Linked DNA regions of Lepisosteus oculatus. The main gene of each other region encodes a partner of the protein of the gene in region 2 in a complex. Links are inferred from orthologs where the notes say so. Each region holds a gene or a part of one and is shown on either strand. Other genes may lie near its edges. The genes, in order: crhb and crhr1.

The links.
Region 1: the proteins of crhr1 (region 2) and crhb are in contact, whole or in part, in a cryo-EM structure (PDB 6P9X), measured with the Homo sapiens proteins. The link is inferred for Lepisosteus oculatus from reciprocal best matches to the Homo sapiens genes CRHR1 and CRH. Residues at the interface, in NP_004373.2 of Homo sapiens: Lys113, Tyr116, His117, Ala119, Val120, Asn123, Trp169, Val172, Gln173, Met176, Ser177, Pro178, His181, Thr192, Tyr195, Asn196, His199, Phe203, Phe260, Gly261, Lys262, Tyr267, Tyr272, Gln273, Met276, Ile277, Leu280, Tyr327, Phe330, Phe331; in NP_000747.1 of Homo sapiens: Glu156, Pro157, Pro158, Ile159, Ser160, Leu161, Asp162, Leu163, Thr164, Phe165, His166, Leu167, Leu168, Arg169, Glu170, Leu172, Met174, Arg176.

The regions. Positions count from the first base shown.
Region 1 is NC_090701.1:51,255,476-51,268,173, forward strand, and holds crhb (corticotropin releasing hormone b), read right to left. Parts: upstream 7,360-12,698; 5' UTR 6,706-7,359; intron 5,878-6,705; 5' UTR 5,858-5,877; coding exon 5,357-5,857; 3' UTR 4,894-5,356; downstream 1-4,893. Other genes in the region: trim55b (tripartite motif-containing protein 55b), read left to right, coding at 4,404-4,523. UniProt on the Homo sapiens protein: Hormone regulating the release of corticotropin from pituitary gland. Induces NLRP6 in intestinal epithelial cells, hence may influence gut microbiota profile.
Region 2 is NC_090723.1:8,134,660-8,147,357, forward strand, and holds the start of crhr1 (corticotropin-releasing factor receptor 1), read right to left. Parts: upstream 6,001-12,698; 5' UTR 5,972-6,000; coding exon 5,912-5,971; intron 5,061-5,911; exon of another isoform or gene 2,143-5,060; coding exon of another isoform or gene 2,089-2,142; intron 1-2,088.

The DNA.
Region 1 (12,698 bases), on a different chromosome or scaffold from region 2:
ACACTTTCCAATTATCCTTCCTACCCTTTTAGTTTTACTTACATTTTGACAGATTGCCTTGGCAGAATAAAATGAGCAGCCGTGATAGATATGGATAATACACACTGGGCACCAATTTGGACTATTAGTGCAAGCGTAATAAAAAATAAATGTCATGTGGGCTCTAAAGATATACCATCACCACGGACTTTACCCATTTTTCACATTCAAAATATACTTGCACTTATCTAAATCTATACATATCCATACTGATGTACAAGATATACAGTACATATTTTATTCTACCAAGGTCCTGTAAACAATTTATTAACTTGTACATTTTTAAAAAAACTCTGCAGTACAGGTAAATCCCACAAAATAATTGGAATCAAGAGATAACATGACATCAATAACCAACAAGTAACAGGATACAACCTTTAAAATGTAATATTAATAGTTGGAATGTTATGCTGTAGTATACTTCAAACACATCTCCTTCAGTTCAGTGTTCTGTATGATGAAAGATGTGACCTTATGATTTTCCACATCCATTCTATTCCACCTATAAAAGCACAATAAATGAGGAATGGTATATAGAACTGACATCTTTTGACTAGTAATTGACTAAATCCTCCACCTATGACTATTCGAGGATGTATTCCATTGTTCCAAGGCTTTGCATAAAATAATTGGATATGATGGTTAGTTCAAATTCATTGGGCTGCACTGTATTCTGATGCAAAAATGGACAAAATCTTTTTACGTGATTTTGGTTTTCTCAAGTATTTATGTGCACATAGATGTATGAATGCCTTGAAAGTGATAACAAGGCAGCTATTTAATTACATTTTTTAAAGACTAATGGTGAAATACTTGAAAAGGAAGTCTGTGAAGGTCGATTTTACTCTTTAATGTTAAATTTCTCAATAGATCACTCGTTGGCTATGCCTTGTAGTCAAGGATGACTGTCTTGCATGAACCCGTACGTGAGTGAAAAGACCAACATACCCTGCCAGTTGAGAAGGTGTTGTCTGAAGAGATCATGTACTGTGCAATCTGGTCTTGTTGATATCTCTCTGATACACTTGTTTAGCTTACTTAGGCTGATACCTTTGAGCCTGAAAGCAGTGGGTTTTTTTCCCAGATTGCATTATAACTTCCCAGGAGCTGATATTGATGTAACATTCTTCATGAGACACTCCAGAGACAGAGAGAAACTAAATACATAAGATCTAATAATACATGTAAATAAGGTTCTACATTTCCACAATGTTAGGAGAGGAACTGTCTCCAGCTGTCTGCAAGCTCTATGAAAGTGTTTAACATTCAGCGAGGGTTGTCTACACTGGTGACAGATTGGACTGGTGAGAGAGCACAATGGGTTGAAGTAAGGTTTAATTTCTTGAGGAGATGGAATACAAAAAGGTTAATCATCTAAAGTAACATACCAACTGCTGCTATTTTAGGGAACACAGTCTCACTTGTTTAATGTATGCTCCTGGCCAAACAGGATTAGCCATTAGTTTAGCTACAGGCATAAAGGGGAAATGGAAAGACATCAGGTTGCATGCGAAGTCAAGGTTAGGAAGCAACAGGGTTGGTCTGGCCTCTTCAGCCCTGGTTTTGTATTTCCCTGTAGTAAAAGTGAGGAATTTGTACATAGACTCTTCACATCAATCTGTCAGGTTAGGACATCTGATATGTCTTGCTGGAAGAAGAAAGCCTTCTCTGAGAGCGTGCAGTCTGATATCTGCCCAACACAAACAGCCCAGTGGGGCTGTTGATAGATATTCATGGATTCAATACTTATATTGTCTGCCTGGGAGAGAGCACCTTTGTTGTTCTCTCCATCCTGCCATGTGATGTGTAAAATCTGCAAAGAACGTTGATGGTATAATTTCAGTATTCAGGATGTTTAAAAACAAATATTGTCAGACCTGCCGCTAGAGAGTCTGAAAACCCATTGTGGGAGTTGTTCAGTAACAGAAATGTTACAGAATAAAAACAGAAAATCCAGCCGCTGACTTACTGTACACTTGTAAAACCCATTCATGCCAAACACACCATTAGTGAGTTCCGTGTAAGAATGTGTAAATAAATCATCACCAGTAATATAATTAATGCCAAATTACCACCTGGCGATCCTATTTACAGGTAGTAGAATACATGTGATGTCCTTTTGTGGTAAATTACTCTCTCTATAGCCTAGCCTGCTACACTTTTCCTTTGATTGTAGGTGTGACATCTTCTGCCACTTGGAATCTGGGTCTCTTTTTGTTGGTTTTCTAGGGATTTTTTGGCAGCCAGTTTGATAGATATGATTGCATGGATAAGACAGTCAACAGTCCAGTGGTCTTGAGCTAATTTCTGTGCTCTATATAGTTTAAAGTTTTTAGCCCTGCTAGTGGTTCATGATCACCACTTAGAACAGCAAACTGGTATTCCTTGATCAGTCATCCCAGCACTCACCAGACTCAGCTTTGCTTATGAGATCAGGATAGAAGCAGAGAGTGCTGCAGTTGAATGTAAAGCTATACCTCACATTCTGAAGAGGCGTCACACCCATTTTGTGGAAATTGATCAATAGGATGAGTGATCAAGAGTATTAAAGTCATAAAACTGGCATTTGTAACCATCGCCCAGTCCTTTGACTAATCCAGTTTGGCAGGCAGTCACAGTATTACTCTGCCAGACTTCTTACCACTTGTATGGGAAGATGTTAAATAGGCTTACTTGAGCTAATAATTAGTTGCTTTAGCCGTTGAGAGCTGTGGACACACCAGCCGTCTAGGACCAGGACTGGACCAGGACTTCATGAGTTTTATGGTAAAACGCCTACAGTAGGAGAGATGTCAGAGGATGACATTCAGAGATACGCTCTTAAAGAGACTCAACAAAAACCTCACCATTATACTTATGGAATCTAGTAGGTTAGTGCCTCTTATAGAGAAACTATAACATAACCTTATTTATTTTAGCAAACTGCTTTCCCCTTTCAGCTGTCACATTACAGTAAATAAGTTTCTGAGTGGATTGTTTGCGGGAACTTCTGTTTTATAAATATACAGTCTTATGTGGAAGTAATATCTTCAAGCAATAATCAAAACGTTCTGTGAGGCCCAGTAGATTTAAATATATAGCATGATTCAAAGTAAAGTAAATTATTTTTTAAATCAGGCATATTATTAATAATATGGAGCCACTATCGTAGATTTCCCTGATATATTTTATGATGAAATTCATTATACATATTAATGTTATCTGTGCAGTGTGTCAAATAAATGGCTGAAAACATACAAACCATATCATGTGCATTTTATATAGGATAATTGGATACTAAGGGACAGATAGGTGGCACAGTGGTGCAGTGGTTCCATTACTCCCTTGCAGTACTGGGGCCCTGGGTTCAATTCCTGGGCTACTATCTGCATGGAGTATGTATGTTCCCCCTGTGTTTGCATGGGTTTCCTCCCATGGTCAAAAAGCATGCTGGTAGGCTAATTGGCTTCTGGAAAAACTGCCTCTGATGTGAGTCTGTGTCAATGTGTGCCCTGTAATGGACTGGCATCCCAGTCCATCGTATACCTGCCTTGTGTCTGCTGCTTGCTGGGCTTGGGCTCCCCTGCGACCCTGAATTGAATAAAGTAATTATCCAGTGGATGGGTGCACTAAGAACCTGCAAGTGTAGCTGTATGGTCCATCTGATTTATCCACAAATTATTCCTCATTGTTTTATTCATAATCAAACACCCCTCAAAAGATGTAAGAACAAAATACTAAAGCGTCTCTCTCTCTTTCCGTCATTGTCTATTAGTACAGTATGTGTTTTTCAGAGCTGATGTTACTAAAAAACAAAATAATAGCTGATTTTTATACAATACTTTCTTACCTGGTAACAATTTAGGCTCGGGCTTTTAACGTTGGGTCGGCAGGGCTGGAAGCGGAACAAATTTGCAGTATAAACTACCTCAATTGTAGCGTAGGCGATTACAACGATACGTTATACTGTACACGATTTGCTCCCGTGTGCAGCGCACGCCTTTCAGTATCTTGGTGTGTTTACTGAGTGCACACAACCGCTTCTACCTCTGACATAACTGTAGGCGACGATATTTGTGTGCAGCTTAACTTCATTTTCAAAAAAGAAAGAGTTTTTCAACGTTATAAAATATGTCAGAAATATAATTTTATCTTACTCCAGAAATATGAGAAAAATTCCCTTTATTAAGCAAGCCGCCGTTACTAGAATTAATATAGCCATAGTAAATATAAGGTTTCAAGTTCAAACTAAATAACAACGTAAGGGTACCAAAACCAACAAAATATCTAGAGTAATGTAGTTAACTTTTGTTAACTTTGCAGTGGAAAAACAGCAAATGGGATATTGAAAATACACCAATATTTCCTCGCTTCCTTTTAAACAGGCTGGTTCTGAGATTGCGGCCGGCGGACCGAGCGAAAGTCAACAAAACGCAGAAGACAAAGGCGGCGACGGACCTCGGCACGTCTTCTCCTTCTCCTGGTTAAACTCCCTTAAAGAGTAGCTCGCCTTGTCCTCCAGACATGGAGCCTACAACAAGCGAGGAGCGACTGGTGAAGACAAGTGCCTCGCTGTGCTGGTGTATTAACTGTACCGTTAGGTACACGCACGATATGACGGAGATGTGACTGAAAAGAGCGGGTTGGGGTTTATAGCAATTCAACACCTTGTCTGAAACAGCTGATGCATTCTACATGGCTAAAGAATGTAATGAAATTGCTTGTGAATGAATGGATGCCAAGTTAACACTTTCAACCTTGAAAATACCACTGGTAAAACACCTAATGACACACTTCTGGTGCACGTTGTGAGAGGTGTTGGCACTCAAGAATTTACACAATGAAATGTAAACGTAACTTTCAAGCTTTTATTAAAAATATAAATATTAGACATTCTCTTGCACAACAAAAAAATGACTCGTTGCTCATATTATGTTTATTATCAAACGTAAACAAGGTAGATTACAGGGAAACTGAATTTCAGAGAGGGCATCCATTTCTGAATACGGCGTTCTGAAATTAGTGAATTTCCTACAATTCTACTTAAAATATATTGGGTTTTTTTTGTTTTGAAAATGTGAAAGGTTTTGTGTAAATGCTACGGTTTTGTAATATCACTGTTACAACAGTTATACAAATTAAAATGACGCATTTATCTTGCATGTATGAGCCAGTCTGATTACCAACCATCGAGCGGGCTACGATTCCTCATCATTTTCCTTCGTTTGAGGTTTAAAGCTATAAAAAATAAATAATGTAAAAGCAGCGCTATGGTACAGGATACTGTGTATTTTGTGCTAGATGTAAAACTTCTTTGGCAGATGGAGCTGTGTCACGTTCACTTCCCGATGATTTCCATCATTTTTCTGTTGCTGTGCGCTTGCTGGGCAAGCTGCTCCGCCCGGGCCATTTCCAAAACTTCTCGTAGCAGGTGGAAGGTCAGATCCAGGGAAATGGGAGGCTCTTCGGACCGCTTCCCTCTTCCCGTCAGGTCTTCCAGCTGGTCATCGTGGCTGCTCAGAAGCCGGTTGGGGTGACCAACTTTGCCTTGCAGGAGACGCTGTGTGAGCTGCATCTGGAAAGCCCTGTTGACGTTAGCCGGGGACGCGTCGGGGGACATGTTGGGCAGGTACGAGGGGGGATTCTGATTTACGTTGCCCAGGCGAATGAAATACTCCTCTCCCAGTCTCACCAAAAGCGGAAGGGAAAGCTCCTGTAGCTCAGATTCGGAACCCCGACCGGACTGGACAGCCCCCGGGCTTTCGATAGCTCTACATTCATGACGCGGCAGGAAGGCAACAAGCAGGATAGCAGTAGAAACAAGGAAATTGAGCTTCATGACAGGATATCAGCGGGAACCTGAAGAGGAAAGAGATTCGATTTTTTTTTGTTTTAAAAACTTAAGTTTGCGTGTTTCCAAACAGACACCAAAAGAACTACGTTAAACAAAACTCTCACCCTACCGAAAAACGTCATTCGGCGTTTCGTGTTGGAGAGTGGACATTCTGTGTATATTTTTATTGCCTTTCCGAGGTTTACAGGCATCAAAGATATTGACTGAATTGTACTGATATGTACAGCAGATCAACAGTTATCATTATGACAGTAGGCGCTTCAGCCAGAAATAAATTGTATAGAGATTGAGATGCTCCAAATTGTTTGTTAATGTGTGCAATATTAAAAAAAAAATCTACAGTATGCCAAAAATTCAGAATGATCATTTTAAAGTGTTTTCCCTTCCTTTGAAAAACATACAGAATAAGGTAAAGCAATACGAAGGCAAACTTATATGTACAGTACACAACACACATTCAGCTGTATATTCCCTACTATAAAGGCCCATACTTCTTATACATTTGAATTTCCAATGTTAATAACCTGTGGATGAAAACTTTAAAATGTAGGAATCTGTTGGTGTTACAAAACTAGATTTCTACTTGTATAAAAAATAAATTAATCCGTGACACCAAATAGCAGTGTCGGAGTCTCACACTGTGTTTTAAAACAGTATTAAAAACAGATACACTTCTGACTTCCTAGCTTCCTGCACCTTCAGTTTCGGAAATAAGAAATAATAAACGTATAACACTGACACTTTCTCTGTCGCTATTTAAACACTTATTATAAACAACGTATTGCACCACAAAATTACGAGGCTCTTAAAAGATAGTTTTCAAGTTCCCGTACCTGAATTACAAGAGAATGGCCGTACGTATGTCCGTGGACGCTGGTGACCAGATAAGGCTCACAGTTAAGATGCTGTTTTCTTCCAGGTTTGCTACCGGTCTGTAAAGACACCTGTAAACGAACTACTTCTTCAAAGAAAGCCTGGATGTTGGATTTTTATACCCCAAGACCTGTGACAAGTGTCACGCTCTGAGCTCAGATCTTGCGTCTGCGCAGTGATTTGCATGGGTAGACACCTGAATGAACAATGAATTTTAAAAGCTGGTGGGCAAATTTATTCCGCAACAGGAGTCCAATTATTTCCAGAAGTTTGTGTCCGATCGCCGTGACGTAATTCTACGCACAAGAAGTGCCACCGTTTGTTGCTTTCCCCATTATTTGAATGAACGTCTCTCGCCGAAACTGTAGTGAAGTTTTCAGATAACGGAAGAAGAAATCGATCGCTTTCTCAATTAGGATTCACCTGGCTCTGTCTGGTTGTTCATCAGTCCTTCTTTAACGCCTGAGCATCCTAGAACATTCGTTTTCGCATCCTGTGGTCAAAAATAAACAGAAATTACTTGTCTCTGTCCTTGGTACTGAAAATGAAACCGTAAAGGCTTGAGCAGTTCTTCCCAAAGTTCGATACTCGCAGTTTGTAAAAATAACTTGGCTCCAAAAAAAAAAAAGAAAGGAACAAGTCAAGATTTATTGCACGCTGAAAAGAGAAGAAAGGAAACACAATGTTTCGGCTGTGGAGCCTTCCGTAATGTTGTGTTTCCTTTCGTCTCTTTTCAGCATGGATTAAACCTTTACTTGTTCCTTTGCAGTCTACGCATGCTGGCGCAGCTACACACCTGAACTACTTCGCTACAAAAAAAAAAATCTACTTTACTCATTGTGTCACAGCCCGATAAATATTTCGCAGTTTTCCGTGCTCTTTCATTCTACAGTAAATGTTTCGAGATTGTTTTCCCGTCTGAAAGTGATCTGATTTTAAAGGTTGATTATGTTTCATCCATCCGTTTGGCGTTAAATCTTACAGGAAAAAAGAACTAAGCTTCTAGAGTATACAGTATGTGTATACATCACAAGTTGTTTATAACACGTTGTTTTTTTTCTTCTCTTATTCTGTACTGTATATCCGTCATTGCTTATTTTGATTGTGTATTAAGACATGATCAGCGCTATTGTCTCAAGCGCTTTCAAATCTTGATTTAGAAACGAACCATTCTGTGTGGATGCAAGTTTAGATTATCTTGTAAAATACCATACAAGTATAAATAATTTAATCAAGTAATTTCCAATCCACAATCCGAGTATTTTTGCTTATTGAATGTTAGTTAATGGCGAACCATGCACTGTGACTGTTTTTCTTCATGCAAACTGACAAACTTTTGACGTTTCTTCTATTCCACAGGAGGAATAACAGAGGAGCAGCTCTGTGAATACTGTTAGAAACGTGTTCGGTGCTCTGTCAATAGGCAAAAACACCCATTTCAACCAGTTCTGCATTTCCTGAAGTAGAAAAGTAGAAACACAAAACCTCCTCTCATCCATTTGAGAACTCGTTTCACGCGTCACACTGTACAAGTTTCATTCTTAGGAATCGCTGCATCTCTTTGTCGTGGCTGTGTTTTTAGAGAGTATTTCAGACTCCATTGCTCTAATGCTCTAAAAACACGGACTGAGCCTCAATAATAGAAATAGACTGTAATAGCTGGTCTCGATGAAGAAGACGCTTTTCATTGCCAGCCCGTGAATTGAATGTGTTAATCCCATATGACAGAGATTTATTTCACTCATTATCATCTTAATCAGTTTTTCAAATAGGTGATCCTGTGTTGTTTTCAGATCATGAGTCAGATATTAAATATAAATTAATAAAAGGTGAGTAAAGCAAAATAATATTTAGAGATCTGACTCATTATGCTGTATTTCCTGAGAAACGAGGTGACGTGTGCATTTAGCAATTATGGCAAGAATGATCAAGTAGTTAACTATTGCGTGGTATTATCGTCCTTTAATTTGTAATCCATACATATACATATGTAAATATGCGTTCTTTTTCAAACATATAAAGCATAAACACATCACATACTTCAATAACAGAAATCGGGGTGGTGTATGGTACACATCATTTGGGAGATTATAATTAGGACTCATTCTATTGTATGTTTGTTTTAACTCAACGGATAATTTAGCATTTTTTCCAAACCGGTCTTATATTTAAAATGCATTTAAAGGGATAATTGTTCTCGTTATCTAACAGGTTTTAGCACATTGGGAACGGTAGGTGGCGTCCTGTTCATCAGCACCATTAATCTTTGACAGGACGTCTCTGGGACAAAGATATTCTAGTACAGAGATACAGCAAACGAGATGAGTCATAGAAGAACTGCATGGTATATGTAGTCTGACTTTTTTCTTCTTTCACAACAGAGCAATTATATGAAATAGAGCAAGCGACACAAACAAACATTTCTCATAACCAATTGGTTTTGACAGTTTATTTTTAAGGCACTGTAGGAGGAAGACTCAATTACACTCTCTCTGTGAGTTTACTGGAACGTTGGTATTATTTTTACAATTCGAGTTAATGCGGCACATAGTGTTTCAGGATGTCTTAGGAAACAGTTTTCAGACGGAAGGCTGAAATACTTGTGTGGACATGAGAAGATAGCATCAAGCATGCAATAGCAAAATCAACCACGATAGTACAATTGAAGATGTAGCACGCTAAATGTGGATGGATTGACTTTTTATTATTCTAATTACCTTCATTGCGGCATTACTGTACAACTGCGAACTTCAGTTCGCAATTGTAAGGTCTCGAACAATTGTTTTCTTCTCTCTGTGTTGTGGACACTGCTCAGAAGTCAAATAGAACCCAAACTGAACACACCGACATACAATACAACTGTTCATTCTGCTGAATGTGGCTTGAGGGATGCCAGAGAATAACTTTACTTCAATAGCAAGGCTGGAAAGCTTTATTGGAGATGCTCTTGTCTTTCTGTAAAGAAGCAGTCCCTATGTTTAGTACTTCACACGTTTCCTCCTAACCTACAGTTGGATATGTCCCTAGCTCTTTGTGTTATGTTGGACCCTGGACTTTGTGACGTGTCAGCCTGTTAAATGCTTTGCCATACTATCTAGGTGAGGACAAATCGACAAAGACCTACAGCGCAAAGTTACTGGGACAAGAAAGACAGAACTGTTGTTTTTGCTTTACACTCAAGCAATTTCTATTTATCGTTGTGATCGTTAATATGAATGCTATGTACAATGTAACAAGTACTTTATTTTTGGGGTAATTCCATGCATAAAATCATATAACAACAAAGCCATAGTCTGTGTTAAGCCCAATGATTACAAGTGACCATAAGTACTGTGGAACATTCACTTCAAGTAAATTTCAGAGGTAAAAATCAGTATTTGGCTGCCTGTCCTTTTGAGGCGATAAATCATAAGGAAACCCATTAAGCTCCCCAAAATCTTAATCATTTGAAATGGTTGGCCAAGCTTTTTCTGAGCCACTTTGAGGTGGCTCCTATTCTCAGAGTGTTCAAGATTTCACTTGATTCTATTCCACATGTAAAATACATGCTCTGCTGGATTTAAATCTTGAGATTGACTTGAATAGTCATAGTTTTAACTTCTATCCCCTGATAAACTCCTTGGATGCATGAGCTATAGTTTTGGGTCACTGTCAGGCTGCGGGGTGAAGTACCGCCCAGTAAGTACAAAAACATTTTGTTTTACACGAACTGATGTTTTTTTGTGTGTCAATTTAAGATTTCTTTGTGCCACTATCTTTAGTTACATTGTCAATACAGGAGAGTGGACCAGTTGCAGAGGCTGCTATGCAAATCCAGTCCATGACATAACCTGCATCATGCTTTACAAATGAGGGGGTTTCCTTACAAATTCCGATCTGTCTTTTCTGTTCTCAGTCAAATGAGAGGCTTACATCTTGCGGAACAGCCTTTGTAATTCTGCTTTCCCAGTCCGCGAACTGTGGGTGTTGATACTGTACCTTCTCCCCTTTATCTCTGATAACTTCACTGCCATCAACTACAGCTGTTTTCCTTGCCTGTGCTGGGAATGGCTGTAATCACACTGTACGTCTGGTTTCCTTCTTCATCAATGTATTCCAAAAAGCTCATTGTAACATGCCCAACGTCTGGTGCTATTATGTCTGAGACTTCTTCTCATTCAGATTCAAAGTTGTGTGCTTTTCTTTCACAGAAAGTTATTTGATTTTTATCTTGACTATCAAGCATTGACTCCAGACACTGAAGTCAAAGTGAAACCAGTTGGTAGAGTGATTATGGCAATTGTGCTTATACTGTTTCCTTTTCAAAATTAAGAGGGTTAGCACTCTTAACTTCTTTTATTGACCCATGAGGGCAGACTTGACTTTGACATTATTAAAAACAAAAGCATAGGTATTGAATATAGCAGTATTTGTTTCAAGAGAAATTAATATTAGAGCTCATAGTGAAAACCCCAGCTTAGACATCAATGTCACTAGTTACCCAACTTTTTCTTTTTCTGAATACTGCATTTGCCATGTGACTACCCAGTTCTGAGTAATGTATAATTTGATTTTTTAATTTCTTTATTTCTATTTCTACTTCGCCAGAGTCAGGTAACCTTTAACTAGCCCTGATATGTGAAATATAAAAGTATGACAATATATGGAAATGCCACAGCTCTTTATAGAAACCTACAGGTCGTGCATAAGTTACAGATTGACCATCTGCTCCTATTTTCCTGTTGCATTACTTGGGTGCACAGCTCTGCTTCTTAACAGCAAAGGCATCAATCAGCCTCCATGCTGACATGTAGCAGGACAGTCAGCAATGGTTTTTCAACACGATGCACAGCTATCCCTGCAATAGTGGGGAATAATACGACCATATCAATGCTCCATCCAGCCAAACACTTGGAAAGCTCAGATGTTCAGAGTAAGAGTCTTTGCACATACCTACAGTACAGTTGCTAACAAAAGTATTCACCCCCCTTGGTCCTTTTCACATTTTATTGTGTTATAATATAGAATCATAACTGGGCCTTTTTGCCATTGATTGACACAAAACATTCTATAATGTCAAAGAGAAAACAAAATTCTACAGATCCTACTAAATTAATTATAAATATAAAATTGATTGAAGAGCTGATAACTGACAGGTATCCAGCCTGACTGGGGAACCTATCTTGATAATGAGATGATTCTGTGTCACTTACAGAAATTAGGAAATCAAAGTAAAAATATTCTTTCTGGCCTCTTATGGGATGCTGAAATAAAAGAGATAAATGTCTGTGACAGAAATATTCTATCAATATCATTATACATCAGCTGTTATAGTGAGTACTATAACAAAATGCAGGTGAGAGGTCTGGACTATACCAATAAATTAAAAATACTGAAAACGTTAGACAAACATACTGGGAATCCTGACTGGTTCAGAACCATGGTGTGATGTAATAATAAATTAAAAATAAATTATTTCAAAGATTGCATTATAGATCACATGGAAGCTTGCAAGACATTTGAATGTCAAAAAAGACTTTATTTTCATTTTCCAACATGTTTTTATAATGAAGGCTATGATGTTAATTTGCCCCACTGCTCATCTAAATCTAAGACAAATCATAAACATTTTGACACATAGCACAATCCATTAACTTTTTTTTCAAGGAATAAAGTCATCAACAAAACTTGTAAAACTAGCACATGGTGCTTGTAAAACGCATTGGGAATTTATATATCTGTATTCAGTATAAGCCTTTATATTGTTAATTAAATTTTTCCAGTTTTATTGGCTTAAATTCTACATCTCGGTTATTGCCTTAAGTTTATACTTTATGTACTTAACACAGTTTTAAATATTAAACTTTCAGCATCCTTAAGATGTAGTTTTTTGCTGTCATTATTCTGTAAATATACTTAACCATGAAAAGGAAATAGTTTTTACCTTTGAAGTGAACCTCATGGTGTTTAGATA
Region 2 (12,698 bases):
GGACATTCATATCTTGGAGAAACAAACGGCGATGAAAACCAGCTCAGTCCCCGCCTGACAGGAGTGTGGGGGCAGTTTCAACACCTTGCGCGGAGAGGTCAGCAGGTTAGTGAAAGACTGTGGAGAGGTGCACATCAGAGCCAGCTGTATACTGGTATGTGGGTGGTCAAGAATAGATCCATCTCCATTCCAGCCTACAGCCAACTCTTTGCTCCACCTAATGATTAGCTGTTGAAGCAATCTTCAGTTCTTGCATTAATTAAGCAGTTTAGGGTCAGTCCAGTAATTGATTCATCACAAAGTTCAAAGTCCTAGACGAGGCACACAGTTGAACAGCCCAGGTTATCTACCCCGATCTAGGTATGAGTAGGTGACAATGGCATTAGTTCCCATCTCTGAACTACCAGTGACCCCATGCACATTTGTAATGTCTAAATTGAAAGCAGGAATGCAAAGTGCTATTCCTAATTGCTTTAGGGGTGGCGTTGTGTCTGTTATCCCCCGGGTAACCGAACAATCGCTCTCCTATTGCAGTTACATCCATTGCAAAACTGCATCGCAAAATGCCAAGTACAGGTTTTAAAATAACTCCCGGTGAACTGGCTGTCAGGGTCCACTTCAACAGTTTTCAACCATTTTCCCTTGTTGTTAAAAAGAGCCTGGTAAATCCTGTAGGATCATTCAAATGTTGAAAAATCTTAATTCAGAAGCCTTGCTTGTCGGATTAACTAAATGAACTTGCGCACAGTATGTAGTGGCTCTCTCACGCCTGCGCCCTGGGGCGCTGTACACACACACACACGGACACAGACACAGACAGAGCCGCTCTCGGAGTGAAAGTGAAAACGCCATCGCCGGAAAGATGTTGAACTCAGACCCCTGACGCCGAAGAAAATATGACCTAAAGCGTACCGTCGCAGGAGTGTTGAACTAATAACGCGGCGTCCAAATGAGCTAGGGGCCAGGCTGCATGTTACCACTGACATTGCGGCTGCTTCTGCTATTTCGTACATTGTGCTACTGTATATGTTCATTTGACAATAACCTCAATTAGGCCTACTATAATTACTGGCATTCAAACTGTAAATGAAAAATCCTTCATCATGTATTTATTGGACAGACATTGTACATGTCGATACCACAGGGCATTGTGTTATGTTCCTATGTTAAGTATCGGATGCTTGGATATACATTTGTTTCGTCACCATGGTCTTTTTCCGTAGCTAGCCTATCCAATGGGACATGCAATATCGGAACACTTAAACATTAGTCATTAACTTTTCCAATGGTAACTGATCGATCTCGGTTTTTTTTCCCCACTTTCGTTGAGTCGCCGTGAGTACAGCTGTCCATTCTCATTAACAGTGATTCGGAAGGTCATTATTACATAATAAAGTGGGCATAATCGTTTTATGATTGTACTCGGTGTTTAGCAAGCATTAACATTTAACTTTTTCCAGGACGTTTTAATACTATGGAAACGCTGTTAAACCCCTCTTCAGACCTACAGTATTTGTTTTGAGTGTTCACAGCGAGCATCCATGAATGCTAAACCACGAACCACAAAGTCGCACCGGCTCAGAAATGAATGACATACTATCCCCAAGGCACTACGGCGAATTTCATGAATCAGCTAGACTAGTGAAATGTCTGGAGCTTTTTAACTTTGAATAGGAGTGAGGTTTCACTACACTACCGTAGTATTGCGCAGAATCTTTCCGCAAAACTTAAATATAAAGAATATACAGTACAGCTTTTTGGCAAAACTTAAAAATCATCATTTAAAAAGACCTCCCCCATGCAAATATAAGTGCCATTAGATACTGTATGTGTTATTGGATGTCAGTTCATTCTAAACGTTGCCGATCACGATGCTTTCGAATGGAAGTTGTATTTCTAAAGATACATACTGTACCAAACCCCTCGGTCTCTGTATTAAATTCTCCAGGTGCTGTTGATAACGTTGCCTGAGTAGCAGGAAAACACCGGTCAGACCGTTAACCTCTGCTATCAGCGCAACGAATAAGCGAGCGCATTCGCCCCTCCTGTCCGCATAGGACACCCGAAACCACCGGTACACACACTCACCTGCAGAATCTGGGCGCAAAGCATTTTTCTGGGATTGTAACTGAGGTGGCACATGTGTCTAGCAGAAATGACAGAACTCTTGTCTTCACACAAAGAGATGTTTTGGGTGAAGTGATAGTCCTTCTTCCTTAGGCTGACCGGAGAAGATCAACGTTTCAGAGTCTGTGCTGGAATTACTGTTGTATTGAACTCACCAACACAGCGGTCATAGTGAGTCCCGCTAATTTCCGCATCTTTGTAATAATCATCGCATGGCTTTTTTTTCTTTTTCTGTGTTTATGCATTAATAGCTCCGTCTAAAAAACGTGTAGACTACAAAAGTATCCAGTTTAAAATGTCCGCGGCCGTGAAATATCCCCAGTCATGTTACTGTGCATATCGTGTACAGTATGTACCTGATTTTAATCCTAAGCATTGGAGTCAGTTTTCGTACAAGAAAAACAATCTCAAAATCCTTTTCTTGGTTTCAGAGTTCATACGTGGAAAAATGGGACATAAAAAAACAACTTTACATGATCATAGCAAAAGCTTCAGCGCAAGCAGTTTAATTTCTAGAGCGTTATACCGGAGTGTTTTACATTCAAAATAAGATTAATCGGTCTCCTCTCGAAATCCCAGCGAGGTGCTTGCTTATTGTAACTCCTCTTATCCTATCGCTGACCTACAGGCGCTTTATCTAATTCTCTGGATAATACGCGCTCCATAACTCGAGTTAATCTGTTTCGGTGAACCCAAATTCATCGGGTTTAATGAATCCAATATGATACCCAATCGTATTAGGTGTATCTGTTTGCTTTTTATTATTAGTCATGCTTTTATTAATATTGAATTCCTCCAATCAAAGCCTGTGTTGTTTGTGGATGGTAATCGGTCACACGCTACATGCATTCGTCCAAGCCTTCCAAAAAGCGCGCTGAAACGTTATGCTGCCTGTCCCTTGTTTATAGATTCACTGAAGGCTGCGACCTGTCCATCCGAGCCTCCGCTTCTTTCAGACTAAAGCAATGCCACAGTCGCCAAATTCTTAGCAGAGCAAGTGTCTGCACTCGGCAGTTCAGCCGGCAAGATTTCCGTGCCTGCTGGGACGTTATCTGCTCTGCCGCCCAACTCCTGTGCAGTTTGTCGCTGACGCTCGGAACAGTCCGGATGCTCCGAGCTGCCGGGGATCCTTCACAGAATAGCTCCTAACTCCGGCACGTCCGGAGACAGCATCGCCCGGCGAGTCCTCCAGGGGGGCCACGCTTGCGCTGCTGCCTCGGGGCTGAGGGTATCAGCGGGGGCGCCCGGCGTCCTGGCTGGGAATCCGGTGACCGGGGCGACTCCTGCCGCAGCCTGCGGTCATTTGCCCCGCCGTACGACTTCAGGGCTCCCGCAGAGTGAGAGCGCTTCTCCAGACCCCCTGCACCACTATCACTGTCGAACTGCGCCCTTAAACCAATTTATGTTCTTCATCTTAATGTCTGTCTTTTAAACTCTGAAGGATGTCCCTGTCGCGATCTACAAGGGTTTTGATGTTTACAGTACAGTTCGCTTTGGGTACAGTATTAACCAGTTCCCGATTGCTGGTGTCACCCGGCGTTTCAGTCGGTTGCAGATATCACTCCCGGTCCATGTTTCTGTGTCTGTAGTAGAGGTCTGGTTTCTTAACTAGTTTTATCCCGTCCTCCTGCCAATACGGGAGCTTACTGCGCACTGAGAGCAGTCGAGCTGTGCAGCGCGTATAAGACCACTCCTATCTTTATTCTGGGGCAAGCTACAGTATATGTTACCATGGGGATCTCCTACCTATTTCGGTGCCGGCAAACCTGACAGGAGCTCAGGAATTGCTGTTACCGTGTTGTTTTACTTTTATCTGAATAAACGGATAAGAATAAACACATTGACTATTTGCAAATATAAATCAGACGCTGATTTCAAACCGGTGTTTCGTTTCTCACCTATCAATAACCCTCCGGCCCTTGTCGGTTTAACGAGATGTACCAGAATTTGAAGTCCGTAAGCGATTAACCAACATTCAACATGTTCGTTTCACGATTCCTCGCTGCGCAGAACTGCATCATGTTGAGGGAGTCGTGTCGGAATTTACGGCAACACGCAGCGGGATGTAATTTTCCTACCTTCGCCACAAACTATGAAATTAGGCTCCGGGAAATTGTCACAGCACAAAGAAACGCGGTGTCGATGTCTTTCCTTTTATTTCCAAACTCCGTTTGGCCGATGCTGGCCGATTTTATTTATAATGTAAATGTACAATATAGTGTATACAAGCATTCTTCATATACTAGGAGCGTCGAAGGCGTCGGAGCAGTAGGTCTTCTTGGTGTCGGGGAACGCCACCTATGAGCCTATGAGACCGATGTCAGGGCTGTGAAGAGTAAAGATTTCTCCAAGCCCATAGTTTCTCATTTCACCTCTGACGGCCCTGATCACATTGATCTCTCCATCTGAGTTCTCAATGAAGGGTTTCTCAACTCCCGCCGCAGAAAGACATCAGAAACAAAAATTATCCTGAAACCTGGTTCACACCTTCTCTCAACGTCAGACTTGTTTTCGTGCAATCTTCTCTATTCACATGCAGATTTCGACTTTACCCCTCTCTTCACCTCCTCCCCTCTCCCAACTTTTGTTTTCCTGTGTTATTTCATCTTTGCTGCCTGCCCTGTCTTCCTCAGACCCGAAGAAGGCTCCACAGCCGAAACGTCTCTTTTCAGCATGGAATTAAACCTATGACTTGTTCTTCATGTACTTCAGCTTGAAAACGGAATCTAAATAGCGACTTTAAAAAAAAAAAAGACCGTTCAGAGGCTTTAGGAGAGCGAATCGGTTAAAAGAACGTGCGGACGCTTGTGGCATGTTCTCCGCCGGCTCGTATCTCATCTGAAGCTGTCGTACAGCAAAAAAGGCATTCAGTCAGAAAGCAGCTCCTATGACATTCCATTAATTATCCCCCTTCAATTCGAGGGTTATGGATTTTCGATCCCATCTCTTTCAGAAAGTTCTCTGCTCATCATCAACATCATTTTTCAAATCGTCTTGTGTTTCAGGAGACACGCTGTACGTCTTCCACCTGACGGAATATTGGTTGAATGGACATTTTTTGCGTGGTCTTGAAAACATTTCTGAAGTGCACGTTATCATTAACTGATTACAATTCATTACATTAATTGCTTACTTCGAATACAATAATATTTGTAAATTTACCGATTAACCCACCGGTTGCGTTTGAGCTCAATTATAGTCATTTATTTAAATAATTAGATAACTAATACCAATATAATAGATTTGTAATAGTTGTTTTTTTTTAAATTACGTTTACCAACACCGGTTTTGGGGTTAGCCTATTTTCCTGGGGTGGGTTATCAAAGCCGAACTATGCTGTACTGTTCTCTTCGCTTTCCGTTTACACGAAACATCAAATTTCACGCTAAACGGAGAAAAGTACAATCGGAGTCTCTTCGGAATGATCATAGGAGCACATTAAACCAAACGGGCCGAGAGAAAATTGCAAAACGAAAGAGTTTGTTTTCCCCGGAGGAGACAGTGGTTGAAATTCTGGAATAACCTGATGTCTGTAAGAAGGCGGACGCCTCTATATCTTTTAAGTTCTTGTATGGAGCCGACTACCTGCAAATTGCTTCGTGTGTGTAAGATGGTGTGGATTGGAAAGCAAGCTATATACTACCCAGATGATATAGAGTTCTGCCAAACTGTTTCACCCCGAAAAGCCATTTAGTATTCTCTTGCGGTTCCCGTGAGGCATGCTGATATAAATTATGTTGCTATCGTGCTACTTTAGAAAATGAAGGAAATCGCTGATGCCTACCTGCAGTGCCTTTTGCTCAAACAAATGCTTTGATAGTTGTTTACTCTTAAAGCGTCTCATTATCGGCTACTCTGCGCTGAAGAGCAATAATGATAGAAATCGCACAAGGCTGTTCCCAGGTGTGAACACCTCTGCACTTTGTGCTGCGTTAGCACGATACCTAATTAGACTACGGTGGTGGCGAATTTAGGAAATGTGCTGCATTATTTGCTCTAAATAAACCACGAGTGTTTCAAGGGTAAAAGAAAAAATTATCAGAAATCTTCTGTTGTTCTACAGTATGTGTTTTCTTCCCCTTTTAAAAAAATAATAAATCTGAGTACCAGGCAAGCTCGGGTCCTGGCGTTTGTTTAAAACAGTTCCAGGCTATATTAGATGACAGTTTTTTTTCCATTAGATGACAACGTCATGGGATGCGCCTTCTCCTTAAACCATACTGGGCAAACATCCTGATATGGAAACCCTGCTTTGTTTGCACTGTGACTGGCCTCCAGTCATTGTGTCCTTTGGTGTCTATATCTAATGCTACAACCCCAGGGTACCTGCCTGCTTAGCACATCCAGCACTAGCACCCTGAAGAGCTGGAGAAACTACTGAATTGGTCCAATTAAGCCAATACAGAGTTTGCTTAGGCGCTTAAGTGCAAAGCTGGAACAAAACTGTGCATGTACACCAGCCCTCTGAGTTCTTAATTTTATAGCCCTGATCAGCTGTGAAAATAAACATGATCTTATCTTAGATCTGTAGGTCTAGTTAGGGACATCATTTTAGTAACTGATCAGCTAAGTATTCCAACTGCATCAGTCCGAAGGCATGGGACTCTTCAGGAACTGCAATGCTATAAAGTAATGACAAGAGTTTGCTTCAGTTTCCCAGTAACGCAGGGCTCTGTATATGAAGGAAGTCAAAGAATAGCTTCCAGGCCTTGCATACAGCCGGGCTGGTTTTATAGTTATGTACAGTACTTAAGCTTCTTGCAGATCAATTAAATAATGAATAATGTAGCACAACTCTTACTCCTCATGGCTGAGGGTGATCGTGGTGGTCCTGGAGGGCCCGTGTGTCTGCAGGTTTTTAATTGCAACTCGGCTCTTAATGAACCCAGTCAGCTCATCATTGGCTAAAGTGGACCACTCTGGTGCTGCTGCTGCTTTGAATAACCCTAAAACCTTACAGCCCCCCCAGGACAGGGATTGCTTTGCTTTAGAAGCTCAGCAGTTGGGTTCCTTCAGGATGAAAAGCATTATATTAATGGAAGGAAGTATCCTTAATATCTCAGCCCTGGTGCTGAAACAAACACGACTCTTGTTTCTGGTCCAGTTGAGCTCGTCATTATTAACCCCCTTATATGAAATAGAATTGCTTGAAAATAACTATTTAAACTGGGTTCTGTGCTCAGTCCTGCAAACATATTTTGCACGGATTCATTGAGCTCAGCCTCATTCAGTTGTTCCAGTGTTTAAAGCCTCCTGCTGTCTAACCACATCTTTAAGGTGTGAACCAACTGTTAAAAGTGACCAACGACAGGGACAAAGAGCTGAATAAGGACATCCAGAAATGAGTTTCTTCCAAAAACAGACCTTTTTTCTTGCAAATTCGTTTTCGGCTGTAAAACTGTAGATTCCAAGTTGGGTGCAATGATGAATAAGTAATGTGAAAACTTCAGCTTACCGAGGGGCGTCTGAGGACTCTGCTGGAAAACAGGCCAGCAGAAGCTGGGATCAGAAGGATGTGGTTTAGGGTGCTCTGTGGTAAACCATTGTTACTGGTTTGATGTCTTTTGATCTCTCACCACTTTTACCAACATTCCGATGGTTCCAGCATAAGAAACAAATCCTGGTTTGGTCCTAGCAGGTAAGGACCTGCACATCACTCTCATGTCTCATGTCTCGTGTTTCATTTCAGTCACGGATTTTAGGAGTTGGGGCGGAAGAGGGTTGGGGGAAAAGTTATGGAAAGGACACATCAGCACTGCCATTTCTATGCAGAGCAGATCAAAGATTGAATAAAAAAGAGCTTAAGGGAGCTCAGGTGCAATGCTCTTGGCCCTCTATTGTGATGTCCAGAGAGAGAGAGAAAAGATTTGGCATACTGGCTGCTACAGACCCGTATTGTTGTGAAGTGCGATACTACATAGTCTCTGTCCATGAATCTAGGGGTCACCCATCCACAAGACCAGACAAGAAGTTTTATTGTGGTTTGTTGTCTTTTAACCTGTGAAATGAAAAAGCAGATAGGGGAAAAAAAACTTTGATTTGTGTTCCAGTCCAGCAACCATTTTACAAGGTAATGGGGGTTAGAAAAGCCCAGTGTATTACCCCCTGGAGAGCAGAGTGTCTGCAGATGTAGTAACCCAGATGTAGCCTAATAAGCCTATTAATATTTGATTATTTCAGGCGGTCTCAGTGGATAATGCCAAGGAATAAAGCAGATCCTTCAATATATCCCACCATTTATCATTTGAATGAATCTCTGAAGGAGATGAGCTGAAACCCAACATTCCAAACTGTTTAGAAAAAATGGTATAAGATGCAGCATCTTGATAATGCAGACAATTACAAGGTTGGTAATGGATACGTTTCGTAGAGATCCAAGCTTACAGACATAAATGGGGTTAAAAGGATAGTTCATTTCGGGAGAGATTCTTCACATAAATTAGCCATCCACCCTGCCAAGAGTCAGGCAGGCTGTTGGACTGCAGTGTACTGAAAGGCCTGGACAGAAGCCTGAGCTTGGCCGTAGAGGTCTACTAAAGGAGACTGATGAGATGTCAGCGTATCGGCAGTTACCGGCAATGGAAAGGTGTCGTCACGATGCACAGTACCAGTAGGCCTAAATTTGACACTCCTGTAACCCCACATTTCCAGCTGTCATGACAGTTCTGCTAAATATTGCCAGACAAAAGTCACTGATTCATTTATTATCCCTCACGTTCAAGGATGACAGTCTTCCACGAAGCTGAAGGTGATTGATGAGGCCGGTGCCAGATCTGCAGACTGTCTGGCAGCTTGAGGAGGTGTCATCTCAGAAGTCGTGGTCATGTATTGTGCAATACACTCATGGCAGCTCGCTTCAGGGCTCTGCTTCCTCCTGGGTTCTCGCTCTGACATCATTGAGTCGCAAAGTGCTGGTTTCCTATCCAGATATTCTTGCTTCATTGGGTTAGGACAAGAGCCATAATCTCCCAGGGGTGGATATTGATGCATTTCTTCAAGTTGCCTTTGACCAGGTCTTTGAAATGAAAGACTCTTCTGGCTCGCTCTAGTGTGATTGCCTTGGCTAAGCTGAGAGATGAGAGCCGTGAAGTGTTCTAAGTTTTTTTTTCCTATTTAACGATTTGCTCTGCCAGGGGGAAGAAGTTATTGTAAACCATATAGTTTGAAACAACACCTTGCATTTTCCAATTGTTTAAAGAAAAGTGCATACAATTTTTGTAATCGATGTCATACTTCAGCAATCAATCAATCAATCAATCATGTAGTGAGAGTCTATTGGATGATTCACCAGAATGTGGATTTCTTTCGCATATGCCACAACGGCGGCATTAATTTTGGGTCACATGTGTGTATTTTGAAATGCAGTGCATGAGAGCTCAACAGCTCAGCAGACTGGTGAAGAAACCCTGTTCAAATTGAAATTTGTATTTATTCTGCTCTAAGGGTATCTCTTCCCACACATCTATTAATTTGCAGAGCAGTATCTGCAACGATCTGATGAGGCTGCATTGCTTCTCAAACTTTAAAATGATCCACGCTGTCATGCAAGTAAAACATCAGTATCTTCGTTGTGCAAAAGCTTTCAGGAAGAAGCTGGCAGGTTTGGACCAACGGAATCGACTTCCAGCACACTGCCTGTAAGGAAAAGCAACGGTAACAGGTCTTTCAGTGTAAACTCTTCAAACATCCAGCATAATCGCAAATCACACGCCACATCCATAGCCTATAAAAGAGCTTTTGAGGTCTTCACTTCCCGTCTTATTATTTGTAATGTATTTTTTAATGAGCCCTTAGGCAACGCCCACCGGCAGGCAGCCCAGAAATCTTCCTTTCCAGTGGAACTGCGGCCCTCAGGACAACGCAGGCAGAATACCGAGTCCCTGGGCTCGTAGGTGCAGGCAGTTAAATTACCGAAAGAGGATAACGGGAAAAGCAAGCAGGCAGTTGAAAAAAGTGCACAGAGTAGTCCACTTGACAGTCTAGCCTGCTGGTAGTACACAACTTCACACGTGTTGCTTTTTCATCCAGCATTGATCACCATCTGTTCGTACAAATTACACACTTCATTAGTGTAAAGCAGCTACGATTCGCACTCCTTTATACAGTTGTGATTTTACGAGAGTAAGTTTTGGGGGCAGATCAGCGGTGTCTCACCCGGGTTTTGAAGCCCCAACCTAAAAACACCTTAATGTCTCCTGCTCGCATCAACTTTACAAAGGCATGAATGCATTTCACCATTGCAGCCATTCCAGCACGAGTTTATATATGCCTTTCACATGATTGGCCAGAATATGTACTAAAGACGAACAACTGATTTTTATGTGTGCTTAACTAAAAGATTTCATCTAACTGATGCAAAAGCCTGGGTAATTCACAAGATACTATACTATGCATTATACTATGCATACACTCATCTCTGGTCAGTGGTCTACACTGATTTTAGTGTCTGGTGAAGATTTAAGTTATGTCTCTACCTGATTCTTCAATGCAATACATTTGCAATAAATGCTTGTGAATCCAAGTCTCTGATGGCTTGGCTCTGTTGATGGCTTCGGGATTTGGGGCAATGCAATGACCAGTGTCTGAGCAATGTAGAACGATCACCCCAGTGTGTGTAATCAGAATAAAACAAATACAGCTTTCCACCCACCCTTTGTACGGCACTTTCCAAAACCATCTACAGTAGCTTTCAATAAACATGACACATAACAAACATCCTATCCCTATCTTATCATCCATCCCTAGGTGTCTAAATTCAGGCAGACCACTTAAAAATAGACTTCTATTGGTTCCTTTTTAAAATATTCCCACTGGCGGCTGTCTTGAGTCAACAGTGCAAAGAGATGCCAGTACAGATAATACTCTGAGTACTAACTAAGAGAGTGTGAAGATCATTTAAAAAGCCCACGAGCACTTTCACAAACAGGCTAGTAACTAAGGAGGACATCTTCGCTCTTGGGGGTTACTCACATGCAGGAGCCAGCAGGGCCTGTGCCCGAATAACCTTGAGCATTCGAGGGGAAACTATCTGGCCTCCCCTCGGTTTGTACTGTAATCCTGTTGATCAAAGCGCAAAGTGACTTTTGCATTTTGACTGATTGCCTCCTGTGCACGAGCCCAGTATAGGCTGGCCTGGTCTGGGAGAGCCACTCTTCGGTCATTTAGCTCATCTGTAAAACCTGCTGGCTCTCCATAGCTGGGGCTGCTCACCCTGTAACGCCAGCCAGCGGTATAGGCGTTTTTTCCTTTCTTGAAAGTTTGCAAGATTTTCTATAGCCTTCCACTGGAACTCTCCAGCTTTCTCGCCAGGGAGAGGGTGTTAACCCTGCATGCGTCTCTCCAGAGCGTGTACAGTACTTGTCAGGGCTGCTGAGCTGTTGTTTATTCTGTACATGACCGAGTGCCTGCAGAACAGAAGGAGAGATGTAGAGAGAATGATGCAGCTCTCTCTCAGCAACAGCATTCAAGCTCACGTGTCATGGCAAGGATACCCAATCTGTGAAGGTGTATGTGCCCAGGTGTCCACTGGCACTTGAGGAATCTCAGGTATAGTCCAGGCGTCAATCACTCCAGGGTTCAGTATGCATTCCTAACAAACTCCTCTGTTTGAGCCACTCCAGAGGCCTGGAATGAGCTTTTTAACGTGCATGAACCTTAAAATGCTGTGTGCTGCACAAAGCGAACACTTGCAGCGTAGTTTGTTTCTTTTCAAGTGTTACATAATTCATACTCGTGTGTGTTTGACTGCAGTGACCGGGCTCAGTGAGGGCTGGCTTGAAAACATATGCCCATTAAAACCTTTTATAGTTTTGCACTTGATAGCATGGCAATCTGGAGGGAGTGGAGTCACTGTCCCTCTCCCTTTTTTGTGTTGCAGAGGAATATGCAGCGAGCACCATGATTGAAAGCTCTGCGTTAATATTGCTTCAACAGGGAATTTAGCAGCTTCATTATTAATTATTTCAGACTTGCATTGGCTTTAACTCAATGACCTGCAAGACTTGAATTCCCGATCCTCTCCCTGCCTTTGTCTTCTAATGGATTCATGCATATTCAGGCGCTTAGTGAAATATCATTGTGCTGGATTGATGACACTTACCAGAAAGTGACACTGACCAAGCACGGAGCTTTTCATTATTAGGCAATCTGATTTGTGTCTGAATGTACAACCTGACTTTAATTTGCCCTTTAATATTAGGGCATGAAGCATTTTTCAGAAAGTCTCCTTTCTTTTATTCTGTACCCCCTTTCATCAGATGTCCCAGCGATCCCTTCAACATGCCACTGCTGGAAAAAGCAAGATTTTTGTGTTCTGCTATCACAACGCTGCACAAGATAAAGAAAGGAAAAACAACCACTGTCTCTTTTTTCGCTTGTTTTTCTCCTGTCTTTTTTAAAGTAACTTGAATTGCATTAAGCAATTTTTGCAACATGGCAATATCACTTTTGATAAATCCCATGCTGCCTATTTGTGAGGGACAAACAGACCAGTCGCTTTGGAACTTCCTGAATAAATTCATCACAAAATAGTCAGACGTAGGGAGGTTGTACAGTAGTTTCTTGCCCAGACA